Linked DNA regions of Stegostoma tigrinum. The protein of the gene in region 1 purifies or fractionates together with the protein of each later gene. This does not show direct contact. Links are inferred from orthologs where the notes say so. Each region holds a gene or a part of one and is shown on either strand. Other genes may lie near its edges.

Region 1 (16,004 bases):
ATACACATAATCTACATTAGGAACAGAATAACATTGAAACAGATCTAACCCTTTAAATCTGATCATGATTGATCTGCAACCTAATTTCATGAAGTCACCTATCCCCCTGAGCTTTCTGTTTACTCCATCTCTTATATTCAAGTATAAATTCAAATATACTTGAGATAAAAAGATTAGCCATCCACTAGCCTTTTTATTACTTTCTACCTCATTTAATGCCATTTTGCTCATTTCTATACCCGGGCTCTCAAATCTCAGTGGTCTTCCATTGTCCCTACTTTTCGACCACTTAGGAAATACCTTGTTCTTTTCCTTTACAGCCCCATAGTGGACTACCTCATATTTTCCTACACCAAAATGCATTTGCCAGTTTTTATTTTATTAACTTAATCTATTAATATATCTTTATGGTTTTACGCTTTCAACAATACTGCTTAAAATGCTGCTAATCTTTAGTTATTGATAAGTCTGGTTATGAGGCTTTCTATCCCACTATCTAAATCACTATAAGTATGGTAAATAGTTGCAGCACATTGCGACACATCATGAGCCACTTCCTGAGTGCCTGCTCATTATTGCTAATTGTTATCTCCCACACGCAATTAATTTCTTAATTAGACCAATAACTTGCCTTCAATCCATGAATTCCAATATTAGCTATCAGTCTTTTAAGAGGGACTTTATCAAATGCTTCCAGGTAGAACATAATGTCTTTACCCATTCCCTTGTCCGGTACTTGAGGCAAATTTTAAAGAACTCAAACTCATCCATCAGGCCAGCCTGTGATTTACAAACCCATGTGGTGCACTCTGAATGGATGAAAGCTTTTGAGATGTTCCATCACTCTAGCCCTAATTGCAGATTCAAGTAATGACCCAACAATAGTTTCGTGTGGTTAAAATGTGGGATAGATCCCATGTGGAGCCTCAAAGAGCTCAGGCAGAGGTTTATGCATGTTAGAATAAAGGGTTTCCTTCAGAATGGGGCTCGGTGCATGGTAGATAGGTCACAAAACTCTATCATATATATCTTTAGCTAATTTAAAGGAATTGCTCTGGAGTATCTAATTGGAATCCAATCTTTCGATTCTTTTATAAAGCGGAGGTCAACCACCCCTTGAAAAAAAAACTGAAATACCCAAAGAGGAGTGTTTCACCCTATATAATCTGTAGGAGTGTGAGAAGTGGTATAACCTGCCTTTCAGCAACTTCTAGGGGTCAAATAAAATAATTCCCTGATACTCACTTTAAAATCAACAAGAAACAATTTATTTATCTTAACTCTAACAGTGAACAAATTAACTGAGGTATTAACAAACTAAATAAACCCCTTCTGAATACTGAGTATTCACAAATAAAGCTAGATTCTAGTGGTATGCTGCTCTAATAAATATAAATCCCACTTATATAAAATAGAATTTAAAAAAAACAATTTAGTCTGTCAAAATTACACATAGGTGATGTCTTCCAGAATGTTCTGTGCCTTTTCCATTGATTATTCTGTCAGGAAAATTAACTAGTTATGCTGTTGGTACCTTTGTGATTTAGATGGTACTTTCTCTATCTTCTACACTTGACTTCATTCTAAGAGCAACCAAGATGCTTGACTCTGATGTTACAACCTGGTAAAGAGGGATGAATTGACTCCACTCTTTTTAACCTCCTCGTTTGGGAGCAACAAAGATGTTATGTCATTTTCAGCACACAGCCATGCCTTACTCTAATTGCAGTTGATTAGTTCAGCAGAAACAATAAGTAACCAATTACAAGGTTTTCTTGAGTAAAAGGAAGAGTGTTTTATTAGTGCCGGATTCCAAGAAAAATTATGTAGACACAATATTAAATACACACACAAGTGCAGTTACAAAGATAAATGACTGATAGCATAATGTACAAAAGGAAGATTAGAAAACAGGCAGTTTCATTTCTTAGAGTGGTCTCAAGGCGTTAGATTTTAACCTGAGACCTCGGTCAGTTATGTATGTCCTGGCTCAGTGAAGGATATGAATATTTGAAATATCTTGGAGTCATCAATGCTAAGATCTTTCTTTATTCACTTCATCACTAGAATTTGTCCTTCCTTAAAAAAACAGTGAGAACGAGAGAGAAACTTTTCCTGAAAGAGAGCTCATTCATGTATTTGTTAAGGTTCATTGTCTCCAAGCGGGATAATTGTAGGTGACATTTTTTTCATGAAAAGTTTACATTTTGGAAATAAAAGTGTAAATGCATCAGGGGTTTATAGGCTTCTTCAAGCCTGACTGGTTTCAGCAAACTGGAATTTGGCTAACTTTTGGTAATCTGAGAGAATGCAAAAACAAAAAATTGGAAGATTTATGGGCTGGTGCAGGCCATTCGCTCCCTCAAATCTGCTCTGCCAGTCAATAAAATCACGACTGATCTGATTGGCCTTAACTCAAATTTCCTACCTGCTCATCCAGCAACTCAGTCTTTAATATATTCACCAATCCCACCTCTGTGGTTTTTTGGGGAAGATAAATCCACAGATGAATAACTCAAAGTGAAAATATTTCTGTTTTACCAAGTGAGTGCTTGTACCAAGTAAGCTGGCAGATCTAGCAGACAATGGAAAAGGGAAATAGCAAGTTGACCTCACCGCAAGGAGATGTGAGTAGCGGAACAGGGATGTCCTGTGCAATTGTACAGGACCTTGGTAAGATCACACTTTGGAGTACTCTGTGCAATTTTGGTCTCCTTGACTTTTTTTCATGAAAAGTTTATATTTTGGAAATAAAGGTGGAAATACATCAGGGGTTTAGAGGCTTCTTCCAGCCTGACTGGTTTCAATCCTTTTTGATATAAATGTTTCTTTTTCAAGTCAGACTGGTTTTATTTAATTATGATTTAATGAACTCAGCTTAACTTGTGTCTCAGGAGCACAAAAGCTGACGTTTCGGGCCTAGACCCTTCATCAGAGAGGGGGATGGGGTGAGGGTTCTGGAATAAATAGGGAGAGAAGGGGAGGCGGACCGAAGATGGAGAGAAAAGATGGAGAGAAAAGAAGATAGGTGGAGAGGAGAGTATAGGTGGGGAGGTAGGGAGGGGATAGGTCAGTCCAGGGAAGACGGACAGGTCAAGGAGGTGGGATGAGGTTAGTAGGTAGGAAATGGAGGTGCGGCTTGGGGTGGGAAGGAAGGGATGGGTGAGAGGAAGAACAGGTAAGGGAGGCAGAGACAGGCTGGGCTGGTTTTTGGGATGCAGTGGGGGGAGGGGAAGAGCTGGGCTGGTTGTGTGATGCAGTGGGGGGAGGGGACGAACTGGGCTGGTTTTGGGATGCAGTGGCGGGAGGGGAGATTTTGAAGCTGGTGATGTCCACATTGATACCATTGGGCTGCAGGGTTCCCAAGTGGAATATGAGTTGCTGTTCCTGCAACCTTTAGATGGCATCATTGTGGCACTGCAGGAGGACATGTCATCTAAAGAATGGGAGGGGGAGTTGAAATGGTTCACTCCTTAGTGACAAAAGCTCATTAAAACTGTCTTCTTCACAATGAAGTTCAGTTCTTCACTTTTGAAGATCAAACCTCCATATTTCCTCAAAGGTTTCCCCAGCTCAGACCAACTCAATGGCTGCTCACCTCCCAGTATTTCAATCTCTTCTTCTGAGACTGTGTTCTACTGAACTTGCAAACTGAACTCAAGCTTTTAATTACTCGCATGACTTTGTCTCATTTGCACACAGCCAGCACCACTTAGCTGACACAGCTCCTGAAATTTTCCAAACTCCACTTTCATGGGCTACACCAAGCAAATATTACATTCAGGCTTCCTTGGGCCCCAAATTTCAGCTGCAGCAAACTGCTCCCGTTATTTCAAAGAGCTCCCAGCTTCTCATAGCTGACAGCACCTGTGAGTAACAAGTGTGTGGGAAACTTCAGTCATTGGAACCAATAATCAGAGGAAAGTTGAGCCCATAAATAGAATGCACAGAAGTGGTGAAAAGTTGTTCCTTCAAACACAGGCTGTTCTCTTTTTATATACTTGCTGCCGGTAGATTCACAGTAGCAAATAAAGGAGAGAAGCAGCTGTGGTTGGAGCAGTAGACAGAAGGTAGTAGTAATGGAGAGCAAAGCTACTCCCCTGGATTAGTGATTGGAACCATGTTGAATTCATTGGCTGTGGGATCCTTGATTGGGATTGTTAACCTGAGCTAATCACGGAACCCTGGTTGACAGATATAAACAGGGGATGATCCTTATTCTCTCCCTTCACTTTTTCTTCATGTAAGCATTGTCCTTTTTGGGTTTTGCTTCATAATGGTTCAGTGGCCACCTGAGTGTTTTATTCTGGTGGTGGAAATACTGAATGAAGTTCTTGTCCAATGACGTCTTTTTTACTGAGTCACTGCACACACATGCAAATCACTGGTAATGTGGGGAAAATGTAAGCACTACTTCTATACAATGGCAGTGTGGTGGATGAGAAAAAGGAGGAGAAAAAAAGAAAAGAAAATTAGAACGGGGATTCAGAGAGTCGTGACTTCAGAGACTGAGTCAGATGTGGCTGGTCACAGCCAGTGTACTTGCACATGTAAATAAAACCCAGTCTCCGTGCAGTAAAAGGGAAGGACAGGCCATGGTGCTAGGCTGCTTTAGGAGGGGAAGAATGCCAGGTGATTTCAGGGCCTGGGAAAAGATGCTTCCAAAATGACAGGGGAGGCAGGCCGGGGGCAGGGGGTGGGGGGAAAATCAGTGTCTGTGTGGAATTGAGGCTGGCCACCTGGAACAAAAGTGGAGTGTAGTTAGAGACTGACTGTGATGAGGATGAGGGAGGGGAGAAAAGATTGAACAAGAAAGTCTGCAAAGTGAGGTAGAGTGCTGCAAAGTGGAAAGAGATGCTGCAGGGGGGAGAGAGGAGTTGCAAAAAGGAGATCATTTCTGCAAAGGGGAAAGAAGGTCACAAAATGGAGAGAGGACCTGCAAAGGGTGAAGAGGGACTGTATTTGGGGGAAGAGAACCACAAAAGACAACAAGGGGCTGCAAGCAGGGGTAGGAGATGAAAAAGGAGAGTGATGAGCTGCAAAGATGAAGATTTGCATTTATGTTTTATTATAGAATTCACTGAATCCCTCCAGTGCGGAAGCAAGCCATTCAACACAACAACCCCACACACATCCTCCAAAGACCATCCCAACCAGACTCATCCCTATCCTTATAAGTCTGCATTTCCCATGGCTAATCTATCTGGACCACACGTCCCTGGACACAATGGGTAATTTAGCACAGACAGTTCGCCTAACGTGCACGTCTTCGGACTGTGGGACAAAACCCACGCAGACACAGGGAGAATGTGCAATCTCCACACAGACAGTTGCCTGAGGCTGGAAGTGAATCTGGGTCCCTGACGCTGTGACGCAGCAGTACTAACCATTGAGCCACCATGCTGACCCACAGTGGTATTTAATTATACCATATATATCATATATTATAATATTAGTTATTATATATTTATTATACATTATAATATCTAATTCATATAACAATCTCTGCCTCAACAAAGGAACTGGTCATTGACTTCAGGTTGACATGCCCCTGCCCATTTCAATGGTGTTGAGATGGAGGTCGAGAGATTCAAGTTCCTCGGAGTAAATATCACCAAAGGGCTATCCTGGTCCACACACGTCAACACCACTGTCAAGATAGCACACCCACAGATCTATTTCCTCAGAAAGCGAAAGAAATGCAGCACATCTACAATGGCTCTTATCAATTTTTACAGATGCACCACAGAAGGTATCCTATCTGCATGCATCACAGCATGGTATGGCAACTGCTCTTTCCAAAACCACAAGAAATTACACCGAGTAAATTACACTGGGGCAGCACGGTGTCTCAGTGGTTAGCACTGCAGCCTCACAGCACCAGGGACCCGGGTTCGATTCCAGCCTTGGGTAACTGTCTGTTCGGACTTTGCACGTTCTCCCTGTGTTTGCATGGGTTTTCTCCAGGTGCTCCAGTTTCTTCCCACAGTCCAAAGGTGTGCAGGCCAGGTGGATCGGCCATGCTAAATTGCCCGCAGTGTTCAGGGGTGTGTGGGTTATAGGGGGATGGGTCTGGGTGGGATGCTCCAACAGGCAGTGTGGACTTGGTGGGCCGAAGGGCCTGTTTCCACACTGTAGGGAATCTAATCTAAAAGAGTTGTGAGTACAGCCCAGTCCATCACAATAAAAAGCCTTCCTTCTACTGACACCATCTACACTCCTTGCTGCCGTGGGAAAGCAGCAAACATAAGCAAAGACCCCTCCCACCCTAGTTATACACTCTTCCAACCTCTTCCATTGGGAAGAAGATGGAAAAGTTTGAAAACACATACTAAAAGACTTAAAAATTGCTTCTTCAGTGATGTTATCAAACTTATGACTAGACTTCTCATGTATTAAAGTTGATCTTTCTCTGAACCTTCTTTGTAGCTGTAATATGATATTCTGTTTTCTGTTCTCTTACCCTGGTGTACTTGTGTAAGGTATAATTTGTCTGGTTAGTACACAAAACAATACTTTCCACTGTACATCACTGCTTGTGACAATAATAAATCGAATCACCGTGCTGCTACATTTCAAAACATCTCAATATGCTACAAATTGTGAAAAATGCATTGACTGTGTTGGAGCCATACATATAACCACATAGCAGTGGCCTCACATGTCCTTGGGAAGTATCTTTAGGTTGTTCGCTATTTCTATATAAAAATATATTTCAGGGTGTTCACTTCAGAAGGCAATGTTTCTGACTTAGTCCCGGTATCATTAATTACTTTAATGTCATGAGTGTTAATGATTTCCTCATGAGTTGTAACATTATGTTTAACAGAGCAGGCAGGATTATTGTGGATATTGACAAATTCTTTTCATTTTGCTTCTGTATGAGCCCCAAATACCCCATATGTTAACACAAATTCAGAAGTAACATTACTACAATAGTACAGCAGCAGATAAAAATAAAATGCAGTGGAGGTGCCGGTGTTGGACTGGGGTGGACAAGATCAGAAGTCAGATGACACCAGGTTATAGTCCAACAGGTTTATTTGAGTCACAAGTTTTCAAAGCATTGCCCCTTCACCAGGTGTAAGTGAGAACAAAAAGGAGCTACTGAAAACCAAAAAAAGGTCAAATATCAACAGTATCATGCAAAATAAAACTGTCAAGAAGACCCCTTAAAAACATTTGATTTGAAGTGGAACGACCTCTCTCAATGACTGTTCCTCTCCCCATGACTAAAACTGATCCTTTAACTCCAGTCTAATAGATTGCAAACAGTTTGGAGTAACCTATTAAGGCATTCTCACTTAATGATGTAATTATCTCATTGCCTCAATCAATTGGTTCATAGGTCAATCCTTCACTTGTTATTCAGCTGTTGACACTTTAGATCACCTGCAAAGACTTGTTATTCAGCCTGTCAACACCCCCCAAACACTACCTGTACTAATCTGTTAAAAAATCTTAATTACCTGGAATTGTTTTGCCATTATATTTCCACCCATGTATTCTGTGGCTGTGCGCTTCCCTCTGCTTCACCTGATGAAGAAGCAGTGCTCTGAAAACTTGAGATTTCAAATAAACCTGTTGGACTATAACCTGATAGCATGTGACTCCTGACTTTGTCCATTCCATTCCAACACTGGCACTGCCATGTCACAATATTTGAGATTTTAGCAGTGAATAACAAAGATACTGCCAGATGCCCAGTTTCACTACATTAGATTACATTAACTCATGTACATCAGTGAGCTCGTGATAGCGTCCATTCATGATCTTCAGATGTAGAGAACGCACCTGCATGTGACACTGAGGTCACTATGCAGTGCTGTATTAGCTGCTCAGGAATTGGCAAACGGAATTGTTTGTACAAAGATAAATGTTTCTTTTTGTTCATTAATGGGAAGTTGGTATTACAGGGTAAGCCAACATTAAGGCCCACCATTATTGCCCTGGAGAAGGTGGTAGTGATCTGCCTTCTTGGACTGCTGCGATCTATGGGTGTAGGTACACTCAGAATATTTTTAGGAAGGGAGTTCAGGGAAGTCAGGAATGATGTGTGGATTCAAGAGGAATTTGCCATGTGGTGGTGTTCCCAAGCATCTGCTACCCCATGTCCTTTTTGATGGCAGAGTTTGTAGGTTTGGAAAGCGCTGTTGAAGGACCCTTGGTGAGTTGATTCAGTGTATCTTGTAGATGGTACATACAGCTGCCGCTGTGCCCGTGGTGGAGGGAATAAATATGAAAGGCAGAGGATGGGGTGCCAACCAAGAAAACTTCTTGGTCTTGAATGGTGTTGAGTTTGTTGAGTTTTGCTGTTCCAGGCAAAAATATTCCACCTCACACCTGACCTGACCCTGTAAATACTGGACAGGTTTGGAAAATTTACTTTCTACTTTGCAGTAAACCTGAGCGGTGTGACATTACTCATTGAATGCGCGTTCACCGTACTAAATCTCTAGCAGGATTGAGGGAGACTCTACACCACAGCGACTACAACAGCTTCAGGCTGAGGCTCACCAATACCTTCTTTAAGGATGATTCGGGATGGCGTATAAATGTCATCTCAGATGTACCCCTCAAAAAATACAAATAATTGCATTATTTATATAATTCCAAAATATTTATGCATTTCGTTTGCACCATAAACTGAAATCAACGTAAAAGCGTGATAAAAATAGCACCAAAAAGCTTCATGTCAGAAAATATATCCATATTCCTATATGTAATAATATAACAAGCGGAATGGTGAACAGCCCTCTACAGCTGCTTGTTACACTTTAGCAGCTGACGACTTTTCTCAGCAATTCAGGTGTCCATCAGGTATAATCTCCAAATTTCTTTTGTAACTGTCCGTCATTTTGGTCAGACTAACATGCGATTGCGTGAAATAGACGTGGGGGGAGTCCCATTGCATACTGTGAACTCCAGGTCTTGAAAGCTTCCGCCTTGTACCGGGAGAGAGCGGAGCAGGAATTAGTTATCAGAAGTAAAAACACAACGATCAGATCAAAGGCCGAGGTAGCGAGCTCTGCAGCGTACAATGGCCACAAAGTTACCAACTCGGGAAGAGTTTGAAAGTTGGAGACCTAGGGAGCTAGCAGAATTCCTGAGACTGGTAAGACGGAACTTTCCTCTCGTTTAAATACAAATTTCATACAGGCTTAAGTAGCTGTTAAACCGTCGCCTTCGTTTCACTTTAAGAATTGTTTATACACAGCGATAGCTCACAAAAACGTGACAAGATAAATGCGAATATACGGGGGGGGGAAACTGCAATAGATATTTAAGGCAATCCAGGAAGGTTACTTTTTTGTTAGGTAAAAAACATTATTGTGGACAAGGAGTGCCATTGGAGGATGAGATGTGATCTCTTGTTGACGCACTTATTCCAATTATAAACCTAAAGCCCATTGTTAATTATGCAAGGTTTTGCCTCAAATATATCACTTGGACTTAGATCAATTGTGACTTTTGGACAAGCTAATATTTGAAGCTAAATATTTCCTTGTTTCTCACTTATACACAGAATAATTTAAGTGAACCTGCCAGTGTGGTGGAAAGGCACAAAATTTCTGGGACAATGCTTTTGGTAAGTTTAATGATAAAAATATGCTTTCCTTCATAAAGTTGAAATGTCATCTTTATTTGTCCTTGGAGTTTTCAACTTACATGCCTCTTCAAAGAGGCATACAACGTGGAAATGGACCATTTTCTCCAACCAGCCCACACTGACCATTATCCCAAACTAAACTAGTTCCACCTGCCTGCGCTTTGCCCCTATCCCTCCAAACATTTTTTAATCATGTTCTTACCCAAATGTCTTTTAAATGTTGTAACTATACCCACATCCACGATTTCCTCTGGAAGTTCATTCCATACATGAACCACTTTTTTTTAGAAAAAGATGCCCTTAATGTTTTTTTTTAAATCTTACTCATTTCATCTTAGAAAATATAGCCCCTTGTCTTTAAAATCCCCCACTCCAGGGAAAAGATACCTTCCATTTACCTAACCTATACCCCTCATGATTTTATAAACCTCTGTAAGGTCACTCCTCAACATGCTGCACTCCAGTGAAAAATATCCAGCCTTTTCTTATAATTCAAACCTCTATTCCTGAGAACATCTTGGTAAATCTCTTCTGAACCCCCTCCAGTTTAATGACCTCCTTCGTATAACTGGGTGACCAGAACGGGACACAGTACTCCAGAAGACACGACAGCCCAACTCGTATACTCGGAGGTCTGAGCAATGAAGGCAAACATGCCAAACACCTCCTTAAACACCCTGTCTATATGTGATGCCAATTTTCAAAAAATTATGTACCTGAGGTCTAGATCTTTCTCCTCTACAACACTACCTAAGGCCCTACTTTTAATTTTATAAGTCCTGCCCTTGTTTGTTTTACCAAAATGCAAATCGTCCCACTTATCCAAATTTAAACTCCATCTGCCACTCCTCAGCTCACTGACCCAATTGATCAATATCTCTTTGTAATCTCAGGTACCTTCTTTGTCAGACATTTTCATTGTCCACTGTAGTACCAAATTTAGCGTCATCCGTAAACTGACTAAACATGCCCTCTATATATTCTCATTCAAGTCATTTAAAGAAATACCACACAGAACTTTGTCAAAAGCTCTACTAAACAAGTAAACAATGCCTCCTGATCTGCCGTCATCAGTCTTCTTAGTTACTTCCTCAAAAGAGTCAATCAAGTTTGTGAAAGTGTGATTTCCCTCGCACAAAACCATACTGACTATCCTTAATCATTCCTTGCCTTTCCAAATGCATTTAAATCCTTTAGAATCACCTCAAACAACCTACGCACTAACAAAGTCAGACTTACTGGTCTATAGTTCCCAGACTTCTCCTTGCATCCTTTCTTAAACTAAGGCACAACATTAGACACTTGTCAGTCTTCTGGTACCTTACTCAAATTTATAGACAAAGCAAATATTTCCGCAAAGGGCCTCATGGTTTCATCCCTGACTTCCACAGTGTCTTGGGTCCCCTAGTTCAAGTCTCGGAGATTTATCCACTTTATATTTGCTAAGACCTCTAGCGCTTCCTCTTCTGTAATGTGAACTGTTTTCAAAACATCAATATTTATTTCCCTGTGTTCTCTAGCCTCCATTTCTCTCTCAACAGTAAAACCTGATGCAAAATATTCCTATAATATCGTTTTCAACTCCAAAGATGATCTGTTTGATCTTTAAGGGGCTGTACTCTCTCTCTCTCTCTCTCTCTCTCTCTCGTTGTTCTCTCACTTGTAATGTATTATGTAGAATATTTGGATTAACCTTAATCTTTTATTTGTCAAGGCTATCTTGTATCCTCTCTTTGCCTTCCTGATCTCTGTGTTAAAAATGTTCCTAGGCTGTTTTTATACTGTTCAATAGATTAATTCGAAGCCAGCTGTCTATATGTAATATAGAACATAGAACATTACAGCACAGTACAGGCCCTTCGGCCCTCGATGTTGTGCCGACCTGTCATACCGATCTCAAGCCCAGCTAACCTACACTATTCCATGTACGTCCATATGCTTGCCCAGTGACGACTTAAATGTACCTAAAGTTGGCGAATCTACTACCGTTGCAGGCAAAGCTTTCCATTCCCTTACTACTCTCCGAGTAAAGAAACTACCTCTGACATCTGTCCTATATCTTTCACCCCTCAATTTAAAGCTATGCCCCCCCCTCCCCGTGCTTGCCGTCACCATCCTAGGAAAAAGGCTCTCCCTATCCACCCTATCTAACCCTCTGATTATTTTATATGTTTCAATTAAGTCACCTCTCAACCTTCTTCTGTCTAATGAAAACAGCCTCAAGTCCCTCAGCCTTTCCTCGTAAGACCTTCCCTCCATACCAGGCAACATCCTAGTAAATCTCCTCTGCACCCTTTCCAAAGCTTCCACATCCTTCTTATAGTGCGGTGACCAGAACTGTACACAATACTCCAAGTGCGGCCGCACTAGGGTTTTGTACAGCTTCACCATAACCTCTTGGTTCCGGAACTCGATCCCTCTATTAATAAAAGCTAAAACTCTGTATGTCTTCTTCACAGCCCTGTCAACCTGGGTGGCAACTTTCAAGGATCTGTGTACATGGACACCGAGATCTCTCTGTTCATCTACACTGCTAAGAATCTTACCATTAGCCCTGTACTTTTCCTTCTGGTTACTCCTACCAAAGTGCATCACCTCACACTTGTCTGCATTAAACTCCATTTGCCACCTCTCAGCCCAGCTCTGCAGCTTATCTATGTCTCTCTGCAACCTACAGCATCCTTCGTCACTATCCACAACTCCACTGACCTTAGTGTCGTCTGCAAATTTACTGACCCATCCTTCTACGCCCTCATCCAGGTCATTTATAAAAATGACAAACAGCAGTGGACCCAACACCGACCCTTGCGGTACACCACTAGTAACTGGTCTCCAGGATGAACATTTCCCATCAACTACCACTTCTTTCAGCAAGCCAATTTCCGATCCAAACTGTTATATCTCCCACAATTCCATTCCTCCGCATTTTGTACAATAGCCTACTGTGGAGAACCTTATCGAACGCCTTGCTGAAATCCATATACACCACATCAAACTGGTTTACTCTCATCTACCAGTTTGGTCACCTTCTCAAAGAACTCAATAAGGTCTGTGAGGCACGGCCTTCCCTTCACAAAACCGAGCTGACTCTCCCGAATCAATTTATTCTTTTCTAGATGATTATAAATCCTATCCCTTATAACCTTTTCCAAAACTTTACCAACAACTGAGGTAAGGCTCACTGGTCTATAATTACCAGGGTTGTCTCTACTCCCCTTCTTGAACAGGGGAACCACATTTGCTATCCTCCAGTCATCTGGCACTATTCCTGTAGACAATGACGAGTTAAAGATCAATGCCAAAGGCTCGGCAATCTCCTCCCTGGCTTCCCAGAGGATCCGAGGATAAATCTCATCCGGTCCAGGAGACTTATCTATCTTCACCTTCTGAAGGATTTCTAATACCTCTTCCTTGTGAACCTCAATCCCACCTTGTCTAGTAGCCTGTATCTCAGTATTCTCCTCGACAACATTGTCATTTTCTAGAGCGAATACTGTTGAAAAATATTCATTTAGCGCTTCCCCTATCTCATCTGACTCCACACACAACTTACCACTACTATCCTCGATTGGGCCTAATCTTACTTTCGTCGCTCTTTTATTCCTTAAATACCTATGGAAAGCCTTAGAGTTTACCCTGATCCTATCCGCCAACAACTTCTCATGTCTCCTCCTGGCTCTTCTGAGCTCTCTCTTTAGGTCTTTCCTGGCTACCTCGTAGCCCTCAAGTGCCCTAACTGAGCCTTCACATCTCATCCTAACATAAGCCGCCTTCTTCCTCTTGACCAGAGATTCCACCTCCTTCGTAAACCACGGCTCCCGCACTCTACAGCTTCCTCCCTGCCTGACAGGTACATATTTATCTAGGACACACAGGAGCTTTTCCTTGAATAAGCTCCACATTTCTAATGCGCCCATCCCCTGCAGTTTCCTTCCCCATCCTATGCTCCCTAAATCTTGCCTAATATGATTCTTCTTTACTCTTTACTCTTGACTCAAACCACAATATCCTTATTCATCCATTTGTTCTCTAATCCTACCAGCTGTACCTTTTTGCTCTCACAGGAACATAATGATTATGAAGTCTTGCTATCACACTTCTGAAAGCTTCCCACTCATCAGACATCCCTTTTCCTGTGAACAATTTACTCCAATGAATTTTGAAAGTTCTTGTCTCCTATAATTAACATTTGCCTTACTCCAACTAAGAACATTTTAACTTTTTTATGGAAGGCTTATCCTTTTCCTTAACTATTTTAAAACAAATAGAATTATGATCGCTAGACAAAAAGTGTTCCTGTGCTATCACTTCAGTCACTTGGCCTGCCTTATTTCCCAAGAGAAGATCAAGTTTTGCTCCTTTTCTATTAGGAACATTTACATATTGATAAAGAAAATTTTCTGGAACATATTTAACAAGTTCTTCACCATCCGAACCATTGACACAATGGTGGTCCCAGGCAATGTTTGGGAAATTTAAACTATTACAACCTTATTATTCTTGCATATATCTGAGGTCTCTCTACGTAGTTGTTCTTCAATTTCCCTCTGACTGTCAGGGATCTATAGTACAATTCAACAAGGTGATCATTCCTTTTTTATTTCCAACTTCAACCTGTACATTTTCACTAGATGATTTTTCAGAAATATCTTCTAGTTACAGCAGTAGTGTTTTCCTCAATCAAAAATGCCACATCCCCTCCTGTTTTATCTTTTTTTATCCTTTCCATGGCATCTGAAATCTGGAACATTGAGGTACCACTCATGTCCATCCCTCAGCAAGGTTTCTATAATAACTATGATGTCCCAATCCCAAAAATGCCATGAGTTCATCAGCCTTACCCATTGCGTTGAAATAAATGCAGTTTAATTATTCAAAATTATTTCATTCTCTGACTTGCTATTGTCTGTCTTTTCTAAGTTAACTTGTTCTTTTCAGATTCAAAACCATCCTCATCTATCTTTCTATTTACTCTGCCATTACTTAGGGTCCCCCAAATCCCTTTTAATAGTTTACGGTTTCCCTTAATAGAATTAGCAGGAAGATTTGCTCAGATATTGGTCTCTTTCCAGTTCTGGTGAAACCCATCCTTTGTGAACAGGGATAACAAGGTGTAGAGCTGGATGAACACAGCAGGCCAAGCAGCATCAGAGGAGCAGGAAAGCTGATGTTTTGGGCCTAGACCCTTCTTTAGAATCTTTACTGCCCCAGAAGAGTTTCCAATGATCCAAGAACCTCAATCCCGTCTTCAACCATTGATTTATTTCGTTTATTCTTTCCCTCGTTTGAGCTTGGCACTGGGACTAAACCAGAGGTCACTGTGTCATACGTTGTTCAAAGAAACGCATGTCACAGTACTGTGTTTGATAGAATACAATATAGCATTGGCTAAGACACTTTTTAAAAAAAATTACAGTGCTACAACTTAAAATACACCATTCAACAACAGCTTGTACTTATATTGAATCCCTAATGTAATTGAAGATCCAAAGATAATTCACAGGAGAGTAATACAATAAAATTTAACACTGCACATTTAAAGAGATAATGGGGCTGATAAACAAAATCTTGATCAAATAGCTGGGTCTTATGTAGAATCTTAAAGGAGGAAAGAGAAGGGGAGATATTTAGGGAAGGAATTTTCTAAATGTTAGGACCCCAGTTGCTGATGACTAACAGTGTGATTACAATCAGGACTGCTCAAGACACCAGAAATGCAGGTGCACAGTTATCTCAGAGGGTTGTGGAGTGAGACAACAATACAGAGATCAGGAGTGAAGAGGCCATGATGCAATTTAAAACCCAAGGACAAGAATTTTTTAATTGTGCATTGCTTCTCCAGGAGTCAATGCTGATCAGTGAGGACAGTGGATATGAGGAAATGGATCTAGTATGACTTAGGACAAGGGAAACAGTTTTGAGTGACCTCAAATTTGTGGGGCACATGAATGCAGACCGGCAATCAAGAATTGTCACTCAGTTAACAGTTCGCAAGAAAAAGGGAGATCAATTAAATGAATTTTTTTTAGGAAACTGCATTGCCTATTTGCTGAATTATTTTCACGTAAGTTAAGGACTTAGGAACAGATTTTGAAAATCAATGAAACAGAAAATGCTGGAACATTCAACCTGCTTGAACAGGATCAATAGTCAGAGAAAGATTAGGGTCAGGCGAAAAGAGCAGTTTTCTCCACTAGCCTCTAAGAAAATTACCCACAAAGATCTATTTCTCTCTCTACGGTGTGGAATCCCACTTTGCGACTACCGTTTGAATCTACTGTCAAGTCATTTGAGTCTCTAGGCATGCAACAACGATGACTTTATCAAGAAGGATCAACAGACAAGGTCGTTGTACATGCACAGATAGAAAACCAAGAATGTATTTTGATTCTAG
Region 2 (15,766 bases), on another chromosome or scaffold:
TCTGATTATAGTGTCAGATACCTTTGTGTGATCTACAAAAGTGATACACAATCCCTCGACTGGCTCATGACAATTTTCTTATAGGTGTCAAGCATAAATTCTATGACTGCAGCGCTTCAGTTTACTCTGATATGGAACTGGCTCATTGAGAGGCTTTCTTCGATAATGGGAGGCTGTCACCAATTCAAACATATTCTAGCCAGGAACTTCCCAGCAACACAAAGGAGGGTGATTCCACAGTTGTTGCAGCAATTTGGCTTTTCCCCTTTGTATTCATGTGAGATGATAACAGCGTCATCCTGTGAGGATCCTGCCTCACTTCTAATAGGTCACGAAAATCTCATGAAACTTGGTATATAGAGTAGGGCTACCATACTTCGAGCTTCAGGTGGAATCCCATCAGTGCTCCTAAGGGGTTTTGCTGGTCCTTACACAGATTTTCATGGGAACTGGTTTAAAATCAAGGATTGTTGGGGGATTGTTGCATGTTTTGAAGGCAATAATTTGAGATACATTGTGTTGGGCAGCATGGTGCCTTAGTGGTTAGCACTGCTGCCTTACAGCATCAGCAACCCAGATTCGATTCCATCCTCAGGTGATTGTCTATGTGGAGTTTGCACATTCTTCCCGTGTCTGTGTGGGTTTCCTCTGGGTACTCTGATTTCTACCCACAGTCCAAAAATGTGCAGGTTAGGTGAATTGGCCATGCTAAATTGCCTATTCTGTCCAGGGATGTGCAGATTAGGTAAGTTACAGGGGTTGGGTCTGGATGGGATGCACTGAGGTTTAGTGTGGACTTGTTAGGCCAAAGGGCTTGTTTCCACACTGTAGGGATTCTATGATTGTAAACACTGAACCACATAGCCTCTGGATGTAGCAGTAAATGAAGTGTAGTTTGAGATGAATTGGGATTGAGGGGAGGCACACTGGATCTGGTACTTGGTAATGAACCAGGCCAGGTGTTTGATTTAGTGGTAGGTGAGCACTTTGGAGAGAGTGACCATAATTCTGTTATGTTTACTTTAGCGATGGAAAGGGATAGGAACATGCCACAGGGAAAGCTTTATAGATGGGGGAAGGGCAATTATAATGCGATTAGGCAAGACTTAGGCGGTTAGCAAAATGCGGGGGATGGGGACAATCAAAATGTGGAGCTGGTTTAAGGAACAGATATCGTGTGTGAGTGATAATGGGAACTGCAGATGCTGGAGAATCCAAGATAATAAAATGTGAGGCTGGATGAACACAGCAGGCCCAGCAGCATCTCAGGAGCACAAAAGCTAATGTTTCGGGCCTAGACCCTTCATCAGAGCTGTCCTTGATAGGTATGTCCCTATCAGGCAGGGAGGAAGCGATAAGGTAAGGGAATTGTGGTTTACTAAAGAAATTGTATCTCTTGTTAAGTGGAAGAGGGAGGCTCATGTGATGATGAGACATGATGGTTCAGATGAGGCGATGGAGAGTTACAGATTAGCTAGGAAGGATTTAAAGAGAGAGTTAAGAAGAGCAAGGAAGGGACATGAGCAGACATTGGCAGGTAGAATAAAGGAGAACCCTAAAGCTTTCCATAGGTACATGAGGAATAAGAGGATGACAAGGGTAGGAATAGGGCCAGTCAAAGACAGAAGTGGGAAGTTGTGTGTGGACCCTGTGGAGATTGGAGAGGTGCTAAATGATTATTTCTCATCTGTTTTCACTGAGGAACAGAAGAATATTGTAGAGGAGATGACTGAGTTATGGGCTACTAGAATTGAAAGGATTAAGGTTATTAAGGAGGAGGTGTTATCAATTCTAGAAGGTGTGAAGGTCAATAAATCCCCTGGGCCAGATGGGGTTTTTCCGAGGATTGCCTGGGATGCTAGGGAGGAGGTGCCAGAGCCTTTGGCCTTGAACTTTAAGTCCTCATTGTCTACAGGTTTAGTACCAGAGGACTGGAGGATTGCAAATGTTGTGCCCTTGTTCAAGAAGGGCAGTAGGGATGACCCAGGTGATTATAGACCTGTGAGCCTTATGTCTGTTCAAGGAAAAATTTTGGAAAGGATTATAAGATATAGGATTTATAATCATGTAGCAAGCAACAATTTGATTGGAGATAGTCAGCATGGATTCATCAAGGGCAGTTTGTGTCTCACAAACCTCATTGAGTTTTTTGAGAAGGTGACCAAGCATGTGGATGAGGGTAGGGCAGTTGACATGGTATACATGGACTTCAGTAAAGCCTTTGATAAGGTTCCACATGGTAGGCTAATGGAGAAAATACAGAGGCACGGGATTGAGGGAGATTTAGCAGTTTAGATTAGAAACTGGCTTTCTGTAAGAAGGCAACGAGTGGTGGTTGATGGAAAATATTCAGCCTGGAGTCCGGTTACTAGTGGTGTGCCTCAAGGATCTGTTTTGGGACCACTGCTTTTTATCATTTTTGTAAATGACTTGGATGCAGGCATTGGTGGATGGGTTAGTAAGTTTGCAGATGACACTAAAGTCGGTGGAGTGGTTGTCAGTGTGGAAGAATGTTGCAGGTTGCAGGGAGACTTGGATAAACTGCAGAATTGGGCCGAAAGGTGGCAAATGGAGTTTAATACGACAAATGTGAAGAGTTTCACTTTGGGAGGAATAATAGGAAGGCAGAATACCGGGTCAATGGAAAGATTCTTGGTAGTATAGATGTGCAGAGGGATCTTGGTGTCCATGTACATAGATCACTGAAAGTTGCCACCCAGGTTGATAGGGCTATTAAGAAGGTTTACGGTGTTTTGGGTTTCATTGGTAGAGGAACTAAGTTCCGGAGCCGTGATGTCACGATGCAACTGTACAAAACGCTAGTGTGGCCTCATTTGGAATATTGCGTGCAGTTCTGGTCGCCCCATTACAGGAAGGATGTGGAAGCATTGGGAAAGGTGCAGAGGAGATTTACCAGGATGTTGCCTGGTCTGGAGCGCAGGCCCTGTGAAGAAAGGCTGAGGGACTTGGGCCTGTTCTCATTGGAGAGAAGGAGGCTAAGAGGGGATTTAATAGAGACATACAAGATGATCAAGAGGATTAGATAGGGTGGACAGTGAGAGTCTTTTTCTGAGGATGATGACTTCAGCTTTTATAAGGAGGCATAGCTATAAATTGAGGGTGATAGATTTAAGACAGATGTCAGAGGCAGGTTCTTTACTCAGAGAGTGGTAAGGGCATGGAATGTAGTTAACTCAGCCACATTAGGGGCATTTAAACAGTCCTTGGATAAGCATATGGATAATGATGGGATAGTGTAAGGGGAGGGGCTTAGATTAGTTCACAGGTCGGTGTAACATCGAGGGGTGAAGGGCCTGTTCTGCATTGTATTGTTCTATGTTCTATGTACTATACAAATAGTGTTTGGTTGGCAACAATAAATTAATTGGTCTGTGGATAATTGGTGAGAATCTGGAATGCACTGTCTTGGAAGGTTGTGGAGCCTGGAACCCTTTAAAACAAATTTGGATCAGGACTTCAGATATCATAATATTCAGAACTTTGCGTCAAGTGCAGGAAATTAGGATTAGCACACTTTTTATGGTAGTTTTGTCAGTACAGATTTGATGGGCTGAAGGGCCTTTTCTGTGCCATATCTGTGACTAGTGACTAGTTATCAGTTATCAGTTATCAGTGACAAAGGTCTTCTGCTTTCCAACAACTATTTGATTGGATCTCTAGTTGCTGAAAAAGTTACAGAGAAAGGCTTTCAGGTCTTCACCAGCTCAGGAGCGCTCTCTGTTCTCCGAAATAAAATTAAGCCTGGAGCATTTGCTGTTCACTGTGGCTTTCAATTAATAAGTCAGAGACTTATAAGTATGGACAAGCCACTGTACTTCCTGCAAACTGATGAAAGCATCGAGAGAAGGAAGAATGAGAAGCAAAGTTCTGACCTGCATAAGAAACAAAAGATTTTTTTCAATTGAATCTTTTCTGTTATCAGGGATCACTGACTTACCTTCCCAGTCCTTCACTCTATATTTATTTTCTGTCTCAGTCTGTCCGTGTGTGAGTGTAAGGGGGAGTTAATAGAGGGTTTGGAATATTAATTAGTCGAGTTACATGCTGACATCTTATAATGACTACCTGTACCCATATTTTAATTACCTGCAACAAATAATATTTTTTGTTCAGTACAGAAACTTGATGCATGCTTTCTGTTAACCTGAGTCTGAAAATTAGGTAAATTGGGGAACTTTGTGAAGTTTTTAAAAATTTTTAACTTTTATGATGACTCCAGGAATAATGGGTGTTAATTTCCAGCACACTGAATCAGTGAGTCAGGACAAGTGATTTAACAATGAGAGATCAGATGTAGAGGAAAGACCAAAATAGAAGATCTAAACTCAGAAGGTGGGAGTCAGTAAGGGACGGGATGATTGTGCACGGCAGGATCTTGAGACAAATCTAATAAATCTGGAGGGATTGTCAATGTAACAGAATTCCGGCTGGTGACAATGGTTCCAATCTGAAATTGTTGAACTCAAAAGAAGTCTGAAGGACTATTAGGCACCAAATTTAGAATGAAGTGTTGTTCCTTAATCTTACGTGGAACTTCATTGATATAATAGAGGTGATCAAGGACTGGGAGGTCACTGACATTAATGTAACTAGAATCAGGTTAGTTTGAAGCTTAATTAGGCACTGAATAGACATGTTCCACTCCTCCAAACTGCCTCTGGTAAGCCACTCACTCTGGGCTTGATGTTGGTACTCACATTTCTAGAACATAGAACATAGAAAAGTACAGCACAGTACAGGCCCTTCGGCCCACGAAGTTGTGCTGTGGAATAATCCTAATCCAAAAATAAAATAACCTAACCTACATTCCCCTCAATTCACTCGCTTAAATGTCACTAATGACTCCACTTCCACAACTACCACTGGCAAACTATTCCATGCGCTCACAACTCTCTGGGTGAAGAACCTCCCTCTGACGTCTCCTCTGTACCTTCCTCCTAACACCTTAAAACTATGACCCCTCGTAGCAGTCAATCCTGCCCTGGGGAAAAGTCTCTGGCTATCGACTCCATCCATGCCTCTCATTACCTTGTACACCTCGATCAGGTCACTTCTCTTCCTCCTCTCCAGAGAGAAAAGTCCAAGCTCAGTCAACCTTTCCTCATAAGACAAGCCCTCCAGTCCAGGCAGCATCCTGGTAAACCTCCTTTGCACCCTCTCCAAAGCTTCCACATCTTTCCTATAATAGGGCAACCAGAACTTGACACAATATTCCAAGTGTGGTCTCACCAGGGTTTTGTACAGCTGCAGCATAACCTCGCAGCTCTTAAACTCGATCCTCCTGTTAATGAAAGCCAAAACACCATATGCTTTCTTAATAACTTTACCCACCTGGGTGGCAACTTTGAGGGAGCTATGCTCTTGAACACCAAGATCCCGCTGTTCCTCCACACTGCTGAGAATCCTGCCTTTAATCCTATGTTCAGCCTTAGGTTCAACCTTCCAAAATGCGTCACTTCGCATTTGTCCGGGTTGAACTCCATCTGCCATTTCTCAGCCCAGCTCTGCATTCTGTCACTGTCTCGCTGAAGCCTGCAATAGCCCTCGATACTATCAACGGCACCTCCAACCTTTGTGTCATCAGCAAACATACTAACCCACCCCTCAACCTCCTCATCCAAGTCATTTATAAAAACTACAAAGAGCAGAGGCCCAAGAACAGAGCCCTGTGGGACACCACTCAACACTGACCTCCAGGCAGAATACTTACCATCTACAACCACTTTCCGCCTACTGTCAGCCAACCAATTCTGAATCCAGACAGCCAAATCACCCTGTATCCCATACCTCCTGACTTTATGAATGAGCCTGCTGTGGGGAACCTTATCAAATGCCTTGCTGAATTCCATGTACACCACATCCACTGCTCGACCCTCGTCAACCTGTCTCGTGACTTCCTCAAAGAACTCAATAAGATTTGTAAGGCATGACCTGCCCCTCACAAAGCCACGCTGACTCCCTTTAATCACACTATGCTTTTCCAAATAGTCATAAATCCTACCCCTCAGAATTCTTTCCAAAACCTTGCTGACCACAGACGTAAGACTGACTGGTCTGTAATTTCCAGGGATTTCCCTATTCCCTTTCTTGAAAAGAGAAACAACATTTGCCTCGCTCCAATCTTCCTGTACAACTCCTGTGGAGAGTGAGGAAGCAAAGAACTTCGCCAGCGGCTGAGCTACCTCCTTTCTTGCTTCCCTGAGCAACCTAGGATAAATCTGGTCTGGCCCTGGGGACTTATCAATCTTAATGTTTGCCAAAATTTCCAGCACATCAACTTCCTCAATCTTGATCTGTTCAAGCTGGTTTTCCTGCTCCTCAAAGCTATCATTCACAGCAAGGTCCCTTTCCTAAGTGAATTAGGTCCTGAGCCTAAACTGCTGACCTGGACGTTATGACGTTGGAACAACCAGCTGCTGCTATAATGCTAGCTTCTAATTCACAGCTAGTGAACTCCTGCCTTCTGAACCCACAATCACCACTTCGTAGTCATAGCATTATTCGGCATAGAAACAGGCCCTTCAGCCCGCCATGTCCAGGTCATCCAAAAAATACCAAACTACACTAATCTCAGATACATGCACTTGATCCATAGCCTTATGCATTCTAGCATTTTAAATGCTCATCTAGATGGTTTTTAAATACTGTGAGTGTATCTGTCTCCACCACCCTACCAGGCAACGTGTTCCATATTCACCAAAAAGTAAAACAAAAAACTGTGGATGCTGGAGATCTGAAACATAAACACATGTAGGTCCAGCAGCATCTGTGGGAAGAAAGCAGGTTTAACATTTCAAGTCCGGTGACCCATTTTCAGAATTGTTAGTAGTTCAGACAAAGTAATATTTATGCTGAAGATGAGGTTAGGTATGGAGGGAGGGGGAGATGGAAGGGCAGAGGTGAGCAAATAAGTGGATACAGAGCCCAGAGAGAGACAGAAAGAGATATGAAAGGGTAGCTAAACAAGAAGGTTATGGATAGCAGGCCTGGACAGAAGAAAGGCTGAATAAGTGAAATAAGACCTAAGAGTAGGAGAGAATAGGTGAACTGTACTGACAGTATACCATATAATATGACAATAGGCCGAGGAGTACATGGGAATGAGTGACAGTGCTAAAAGCAACCAATGTCACAATAGGTCCAATGTAAGGTGGTAAAATACATGGAAGGATAGAATCTGGCTCTAAAGTTATTGAACTCAATTTTGTGTCCTAGAGGCTGCAGGTCCCCAAGTGGAAAACGAGATGTTGCTCTTCAAGCTTGCACTGATGCTCGCTGGAACACTGCAGCAGGCCTGTGTCAGAAATGGTGGCATGGGAACACGGTGATGTGTTGACATGGCAGGCAACTGGAAGCTCAGGATCATTCTTAGGGACAGAGCGTAGGTGTCCTGCAAAGTGGTGACTCAGCCTATGTTTTATCCTCCCTATGAAGAGGAGAAACATTGTGAGCAGTGAATGCAGTAGACTAGATTGAGTGAAGTCCAGAAAAATTGCTGCTTCACTTGGAAGGTGTGTCTCGGACCTTGGATAGTGAGGAAGGAAGAAGTAAATGGGCATGTATTACACCTTCTGTGGTTGTATGGGAAGGTGCCATTGGGATGTGAGGAGATACTGGGAGTTGAGGAAGAGTTGACCGGAGTGTCAGGGAGGGTATGGTCCCTGTGGTAGGCTGACAACGGAATGTGTCTGGTCATGGTGTCCTCCTGGAGTTGGCAGAAACAGCAGTTAATGATCATTTGGGGCGCAAAGTCTGGTGGGATGGTAAGCAAAGACCATTGTTGTGGGAGAGAAGAGATGCAGTGATGGCAGAAAAGCAGGAGATTAGTTGAACACAGCTGGGTGTTGAATAAAGAGGCAAGAAAATCTTGTAACCACTTTGTAAAACATTGGGTAGGCCACAGATGAATATGTGCAGTTCTGGTCATCACATAATCGAAAGGATGTGATGGCACTGGAAGGGGAGTGGACAAGATTCAGAGCTTCGCTCTTTCTTCAGGTGTTACTGAAAGTGGTAGTATCAAACACAGAATTTTATGCTTTATTTAACCAAGCCTAAGATGCTGTTCAATCTTTATTCAGTTAGAAGGTTTTAATTGATTAATATGTGTAGGTAAATTCCTGAATTCCTTTCAAGTCATTGTCCTGAGAGAACTAAAGGTTTTATCACTGTAAATAAGAGGTGACATTTTAGGTTGGACAATGCATGCTAGGTTATAACTGCATGTTATAAATTCTGTGTCTGATACTACCTCTCTCACTAACACCTGAAGAAGGAGTGAAGCTCTGAAAGCATGTATTTTCAAACAAATCTGTTGGGCTATAACCTAGTGTCATGTGATTTCTGATCTTATCCAGTCACTCCACATAAGTGAGACCTTCCATCCCAGGCAATATCCTGGTGAATCTTGTCGGCAACCCTTCCAGTGCAATCACACCCTTTCATTTATGTGATGACCAGAACTGCACATATTCATCTGTGGCCAAACGAATGTTTTACAAAGTTGTTACAAGATTTTCCTGCCCCTATATTCAACAACCAGGCTAATGAAGGCAGCCATTCATATGCAGTATCTACCTGTGCTCACACCTTCATGCATCTATGGAATCGTGTACCAAAATTTCATGTTAACCTTTCCATTGTAAAGGTGTCTGCTCTTTGGAAAAGTTTCTGCCTTTTATGCCTGTTGTGATGACATCAAAGATAACTTACCTTCTGATTCAATGCTACCTCAGGTTACCTCTAACGCGAAAACGAGTGATTAGTTTGCAGGCAACAGCTTGTGAAGGCTTTTGTGGTGCAGTGGTAGTGTCTCTACCTCTGGGCCAGGATGCATGGGTTCAAGTCCGACGCACTCAAGAGCTGTGTCATAACACCACACCTCTCTGATGAAGGCTCTCGGCCCGAAACGTCAGCCTTTGTGCTCCTGAGATGCTGCTTGGCCTGCTGTGTTCATCCAGCCTCACACTTTGTTATCTTGGATTCTCCAGCATCTGCAGTTCCCATTATCTCTGGCCATAACACCTTTGAACAGGTTGTCGAGGTAAATATCTGGAGGCACTAGCTACAGAGAGACAGCAAACAGAAGAGGGCAGCACTGGATATGTAAATACAAATTAATTTAAATAAAAACTGCCCTCTGATGGAAATGAGGAACTTATCTGTTAGTTCCTGGCACAGGGTGGAGCTAACATTGTCTGAGAGAAATTAAAGAGGCAGGGAAGACAGCTAAACTGATCCCTGCCGTGCATGGATAGCTTGTAGGTAAGTGAAACAGGGAGTCTATGTTGGGCAGTATAATAATGTGTGGATTCAGTTATAATCTATTCATTTCAATGTATTTTCACAGTGAGTGTGGGGAGAGTAGCTTATTTTGTTGGTTGGTTCATTTTCCTGTTTAGTTTGGATTTGGGGAACTGCAGAACTGCAAATGTTTTTGATCTGTGTTTCTGCAAACCAGTCCTGTTTGATGAATAATTAAGGAGAGAGGCCTCTTTGATTCTACTGTCCCTTGGTGAAGCAATGTGCTTGGGAGTGGGACTGAGGTTACAATCTCACTTGTGCGTTCCAGCCCCAGGTTCCTTCAGTATCTGTGCCGTAAATTACAGGCTCTGACGGCTGTAAAGCTGCCCCTGTCTGCAGTGTGGCAAAGCTTTATCCATCTTCACTGAAGGTGTGATCCTTTCAAAACCATCAGTAAATGTGCAAATAAACCCAGCACTTCAGCTTTTGCCACAGACAAAAGAGTTATTTGAAGAGAGGATGAAGGAGGCTGGCATTAAAATTGCAATTCCTCATTTTAATTTTAGCTCCCAAACCACTAGTGTTTACCTTTGGGATAATAGGTTACACCTTGACTTAAATGTAAATCTCAAAAACTTGCAAAGATCACACCAACAGATGAACAAGTACAGATCAAGCATTGTGAGAGGAGCTATCATTTGGATATGGGATTAAAAGGATGGCCTGCCTGTCCTTTTAGTTGGATTGAAAGATCCCTTCATGAGGCCATGAGAAACGGACATGGGTGTACAGAGTCCTGCTCTTCCAGCCTGCTCCATCATTTGGAAAGATCATGGCCATCAATTCAAATTTCTACTGTTCTCCCTATTTCCCTTCAGTCTAAAGTTATCAATCTCAGTCTTGAATAGAGAATCACAGAAACACACACCCCATCAACAAACAGCCAAGAGATAGTAAACTGTAACTGACCAGACCCTTAGGTGGTAAAGAAGGTGTACGGCATTGGTTGGGGCATTGAGTATAAAAGTAGGCAAGTCATGTTGCAGCTGTATTAGAATTTAGTTTGGCTACATTTGGGGTATGTGCAGTCCTAATCACCACACGAAGGAAGGATGTGAAGGCGATGGAGAGGGTGCAAAAGAGCTTTGCTAAGATGTTAGATGTTAACTGGATTCAAATGTATTAGCCAGTTACAGGGATTGTTTTCATGAGAATGTCAGAGGCTGAGTATCTAAAATTATGAGAGACATGAATAATTGGCATCTCTTAACCAGTTTGGAAATGTTAAATACTAGGGGCCATAGATTTAAGTTGAGGGGGGGCAAGTTTAAAGATGTGTAAGAAAAGAATTTTGACAGTGAGAGTCGTGGGTGCCTGGAACACCAGGAGAGGTGGTAGAGGCAGATACATTCGCAAAGTTTGAGAAGCATTTAGATAGACACACAAACAGGTAGAGAATAGAAGGATATGGACTACGAGCAAGCATATGGCATTAGTTTCGAATATCATCATGGTGGGCCAAAGGGCCTGTTCCTGTGCTGTACTGCTCTATGTTTATGTTCGCCCAGGAACACATTTTCCATTAATTGATAGCACCTGAAAGCCCACACCCAACAATAGACAGCACTCTGGAATACACATTCCATCAAGAGGCAGCAATCGGGAACCTGCACAACATCAACAGACAGCACCTGGGAACACACGCTCCATCAATAGTCAGTAGCCAGGAACACACACCCCCATCAATAGACAGCCAGTGGGAGCACACACTCCGTCAATAGACAGCACCTGTAAACACACACCCCATCAATAGACAGCACCCAGGAGCACACATCCCATTAATAGACAGCACCTCAGAACACACACCCCATCAACAGACAGCACCCGGGAACACACTCCATCAACAGACAGCAGCCAGGAACACACACTCCATCAACAGACAGCACCCAGGAACACACACCCCATCGACAGACAGCACCTCAGAACACACACCCCATCAACAGACAGCACCCGGGAACAGACACCCCATAAATAGACAGCTCCCAGGAATACATTCTCCATCAATAGACAGCACCTGGGAATACATGCTTCATCAGTAGATATCATGCAAGAAGATATTAAAATTCTGAGAAGCAGAATTATTTTCAAGTGGAGAGGTAGGGGTTAATCAATGATAGGCAACATGGCTTTCTAAGGCAGATGTCATGCCTAACGAATTTGATTGAATTTTCTGAGTGAACTGGGTGTGTAGATAAGGGTAGTAAAATTGATGCTGATGGACTTCAGTAAGACTTTTAATGAAGTATTCTGCGGCAGGCTGGGTAAGAGTGTAACCATGTACGGGTTTCATGGAAATTTGTCAAATTGGATCCAAAATTGGTTTAGGGTCAGAGGGTGATGATAAAGGGTGTTTTTGTGACTGAATGCCTATATTCAGTGGCATACCACAAGGTCTGGTGGTGGGTTCTTTGCTGTTTGTTGTGTACACTAATGATCTAGACATGACTGTAAGAAATATGATCAATAAGTTCATGAATGACATGAAAGTTAGTGGTGTTTTCAATAAGTGAGGAGGAAAGCCTGAAATGGCTGGTCAAATGGGCTGAACAGTGGGAAATGAAATTTAATTCTGAAAGGTGTAAGGTGATGTACTTTGGGAGGACTAATTAAAAAGTAGCATGTTGGGATATATAGAGGACGAGATGGACCTTGGTGTGTATATCCATAGATCCTTGATGGCAGCTGGGCAGGTAGGTTGTTAAGTTTGTTAAGAAGGCATATCGGATACTTGCCTTTATTAATCAAGGCACTGAATACAAGTGCAGGGAGCTTATGATGGAGCTGTTATTATGTTAGTTATATAATATATATATAATGCCCCAGCTGGAGTACTATGTGCATTTCTGGTCTCCATGCTGTAGAGATTGCTCTAGAGGAGCTACAGAAGAGATTCACTGGGATATTGCCTAGGCTGGAGTGATTCAGTTATGATGAGAGGCTACCTGGAGTCTTCCAATCCTCTAAAATTTTTAACGAATCCAAAAGTTTTTGAAAGATTAAGATCAGTCCATCCTTTATCTTTGTAACTACTTCCTTTAGTGTACTTGGCTATAAGTCATCAGATTTGGGGATTAATTGGTCTTTAGCCCCATTATTTTCCTTTGTATTTTTGTTCTAATGATAGTGATTGTAAATCTTTCCTTTCCTCTTTTATCCCCTCGCTAATTTAGCATTTTTGGAATACTATCATTGTCTTGTACCATGAAAACTGACTTAAAGTATTTATTCAGCAGCACCTCCTTTTCCTGGTTCCCCTTATAATTTCCCAGTCTCTGTTTCTAGAGGGTCAATGTCGAGTTAATAATGACACTGAGTTTCAAACATCTTCCCCCACTGCTTGAACAAAGCAACAGTACAAACACAACTCACGATGAGTTCTAGTAACTTGGTTTTATAAATCCAGCATCTATGTCCACAGCCCTTGATTTAAAAAAAGACTTTTTTCCAATTTTGATCCACAATCCGAAACAAGGAAGAGTAAAGAGATATGATCTTTATATGCCACCACCTTTACAAAAGATTAAACAATAGATTAAGGGGGAGGTGATAGCCTAGTGGTATTATCACTGAACTGTTAATCCAGAGACCCAGAGGGTTCGAATCCTGCCACGGTAGATGAAGGAATTTGAATTCCAATAAATCTCTGGAAGTAAGAGTCTAGTGATGACCATGAACCCATTGTCGATTGTTGGAAAAAAACCCATCTGGTTCACTAATGTCCTATAGGGAAGAAACTGCCATCCTTAACTGGTCTGGCCTATATGTGATTCCAGACCCACAGCAACGTGGTTGACTCTTAACTGCCTGGTCGGCAATGAGGGGTAGGCAATAAATGCTGCCTAGCCAGCGACGTTCTCATTCTATAAATGACTTCATAGAATCCCTAGCGTGGAAACAGGCCCTTTGGCCCAACAAGTCAACACCAACCCTCAGAGGATCCCACCCTGACCCATCCCCGTAAAAATCCACCTAATGTACAAATCCCTGAATACTACAGGAAATTTAGCAGGGCCAGTCCACCTAGCCTGCACATCTTCAAACTGTGGGAGGAAACTGGAATACCCACAGGAAATCCACACAGACACAGGGAGAATGTGCAAACTCCACATAGACAGTCACCCAAGAATTGAACCTGGGTCTTGGCGCCGTGAGGCAGCAGTGCTATCCACTGAGCCACCATGCCATCCTACCGAATAAAGGGAAAAAAAATTAAGGAATGCATTTCATCTCAAGATATCTGACACATAAACAGCAAAACAAAAGACTTACATTCATTCATCCTTCCTACCCCCTATCCAATGTTATGCAATGTTTCAGCATTTCTTAAACCTTTTAACTTATTCAGTCTTTTTACACTAAGAACAATGCATTTGTGATCAGATTAGTGGATAGCTCAGATATGAAATCCACCGCCTAGAAATGCGATGGAGCAGGTTCAAATTAGGTTTCCATCAGAGCTTTAGATGATTATTTAGATAGTAAAGGTGTGCAGGGAAATGGAAAAGGCAGGAGATTGGCAATAGGTCATAGGACTGGTGCAAGCATAATGGACTGAACAGCCTCCTTCTGCGCCACAACAGTTCTTTGACTCTGTGATCCTGAGGTGTCATCTTTTCCAGCAATATGAATAATCTTTCCATTGAATGGTGAAACGATAGACATTATCCAGAGAGTCTGGCACTTTGAATTTAAACTTTTCAATGAATGCCAGTGGATTATGGTCAATATAGATTATTGTATTATTGCTGTTATGGTTAAAGTAGATTTCAAAATATTGATGGGCTAATAATAATCCAAAAGTCTCCTTTTCTATAGTAGATAGTGAAAGATAAACTGGATGCTGCCTAGACCACATGATAGAAAAGGAAATTCTGTCCCTAGAAGGGGTCATAACTAATAAGGAAGAAGTCTTGGAGAGTCAATTGGTCCTGAAAATGAATTAAGTGCTGGGACTGGATGAAGTACGTCCAAGGATTTTGAATGAAGTGAGGGTAGAAATTGCAGAGGCACTAGCATGATCTTTCAATCTTCCCAAGACTCTAGGGAGGAGCCAAAAACCTGAAGAATTACAAACACTATGGCTTTTTCAAGAAATGCTGGAACGCTAATCCCAGAAATTACAGACCAATCAGTTTAACTTTGGTGGTGGAAGAACTTCTAGAAATAATTATTCAAGATACAATCAGGAGCCAAATGGAAAAATTGGGTTGTTTAGGAAGAGTCAGCATGGATTTCAAAGGGAATGTCGTATTTAACTAACTTGCTGGAGTTTTTTGAAAAAGTAACAGAAAGGCTTGATGAGGATAATATTGTTGATATGGTGTACAAAGATTTTCAGAGGTATCTGATACATTGCCACACAACAAGCCTGCGAGGAAAATTATAGGTCATAATAAAACGGACAGGAGCAATGTGGATACAGATTGGCTGAGTGATAGGAAATGGATATCTTTTGGGCTGGAGGATGTTTGGTAACGGAGTTCTCCAGGGATCAATATTGGGACGCTTGCATTTTATGCCAGAATTCAATGGTGAGAGGGGAGACTTTCCAAGTTTTCAGACAGCAAACAAACTTGGAACAATTGTAAACTGCAAGGATAAAAGTGTGGAGCTCCGAAATGTCAATTAAGTTGGTGGAATGGGTGGATAGGTGGCAGATAAAGTTCGAGATGATTCAGTTTGGTCAGATAAACATTGAAAGCCAATATAAAATAGTGGGTACAATTCAAAAGGGGGAACAGGAGCAGAAGGATCTCAGTTTGTATGTGCACAGATCATCATTGACCGTGGCAGAGCAAGTCCAAAGAGCAGTAAATAAAGAATACAGTGGTCTCAGCTTTATAAATAAGGGCACAGAGTACAAGAGCAAGGAGGTGATGTTGAACTTCTGGAAGACACTTGTTAGACCTCAGCTGGAGTATTGTGTACAATGTGGACACCACGTTATAGGAAAGATATGAATGCATTGGAGTGCAGAGAGATCTCTGGCAACCACCTAGAAACGGATATCCATTTCAAGCTCACCGATTCCCTCAGCTACCTAGAATACACTTCCTCCCACCCACCTTCCTGCAAAAATGCCATCCCCTATTCCCAATTCCTTCGCCTCCACCGCATCTGATCCCAGGATGAGGCATTCCACTCCAGCACATCTCAGATGTCCTCATTTTTCAAGGACTGCAACTTATCCCCCTCAGTCGTCGAGAATGCCGTAGACTTGTCTCCCGCATTTCCCGCATCTCTTCCCTCACAGCCCCTCCCCACAATGACAACCAAAACAGAATCCCCCCCATCCTCACGTACCATCCCACCAACCTCCGGAGCCAATGCATCATCCTCTGACACTTGCGCCATCTGCAATCTGACCCCACCACCAAAGATATTTTTCCTTGCCCACCCTTATCTGCTTTCCGGAGGGATCACTCTCTCCAGGACACCCTTG

The links.
Region 2: the proteins of blnk (region 1) and btk purify together in Homo sapiens (affinity purification with western blotting; 5 studies listed by BioGRID and IntAct, with this or other methods). This does not show direct contact. The link is inferred for Stegostoma tigrinum from reciprocal best matches to the Homo sapiens genes BLNK and BTK.

What each region holds. Positions count from the first base shown.
Region 1 is NC_081373.1:40,742,703-40,758,706, forward strand, and holds the start of blnk (B-cell linker protein), read left to right. Parts: upstream 1-8,919; 5' UTR 8,920-9,040; coding exon 9,041-9,115; intron 9,116-9,526; coding exon 9,527-9,589; intron 9,590-16,004. UniProt on the Homo sapiens protein: Functions as a central linker protein, downstream of the B-cell receptor (BCR), bridging the SYK kinase to a multitude of signaling pathways and regulating biological outcomes of B-cell function and development.
Region 2 is NC_081368.1:71,920,010-71,935,775, forward strand, and holds the start of btk (tyrosine-protein kinase BTK), read left to right. Parts: upstream 1-9,196; 5' UTR 9,197-9,285; intron 9,286-15,766. UniProt on the Homo sapiens protein: Non-receptor tyrosine kinase indispensable for B lymphocyte development, differentiation and signaling. Binding of antigen to the B-cell antigen receptor (BCR) triggers signaling that ultimately leads to B-cell activation.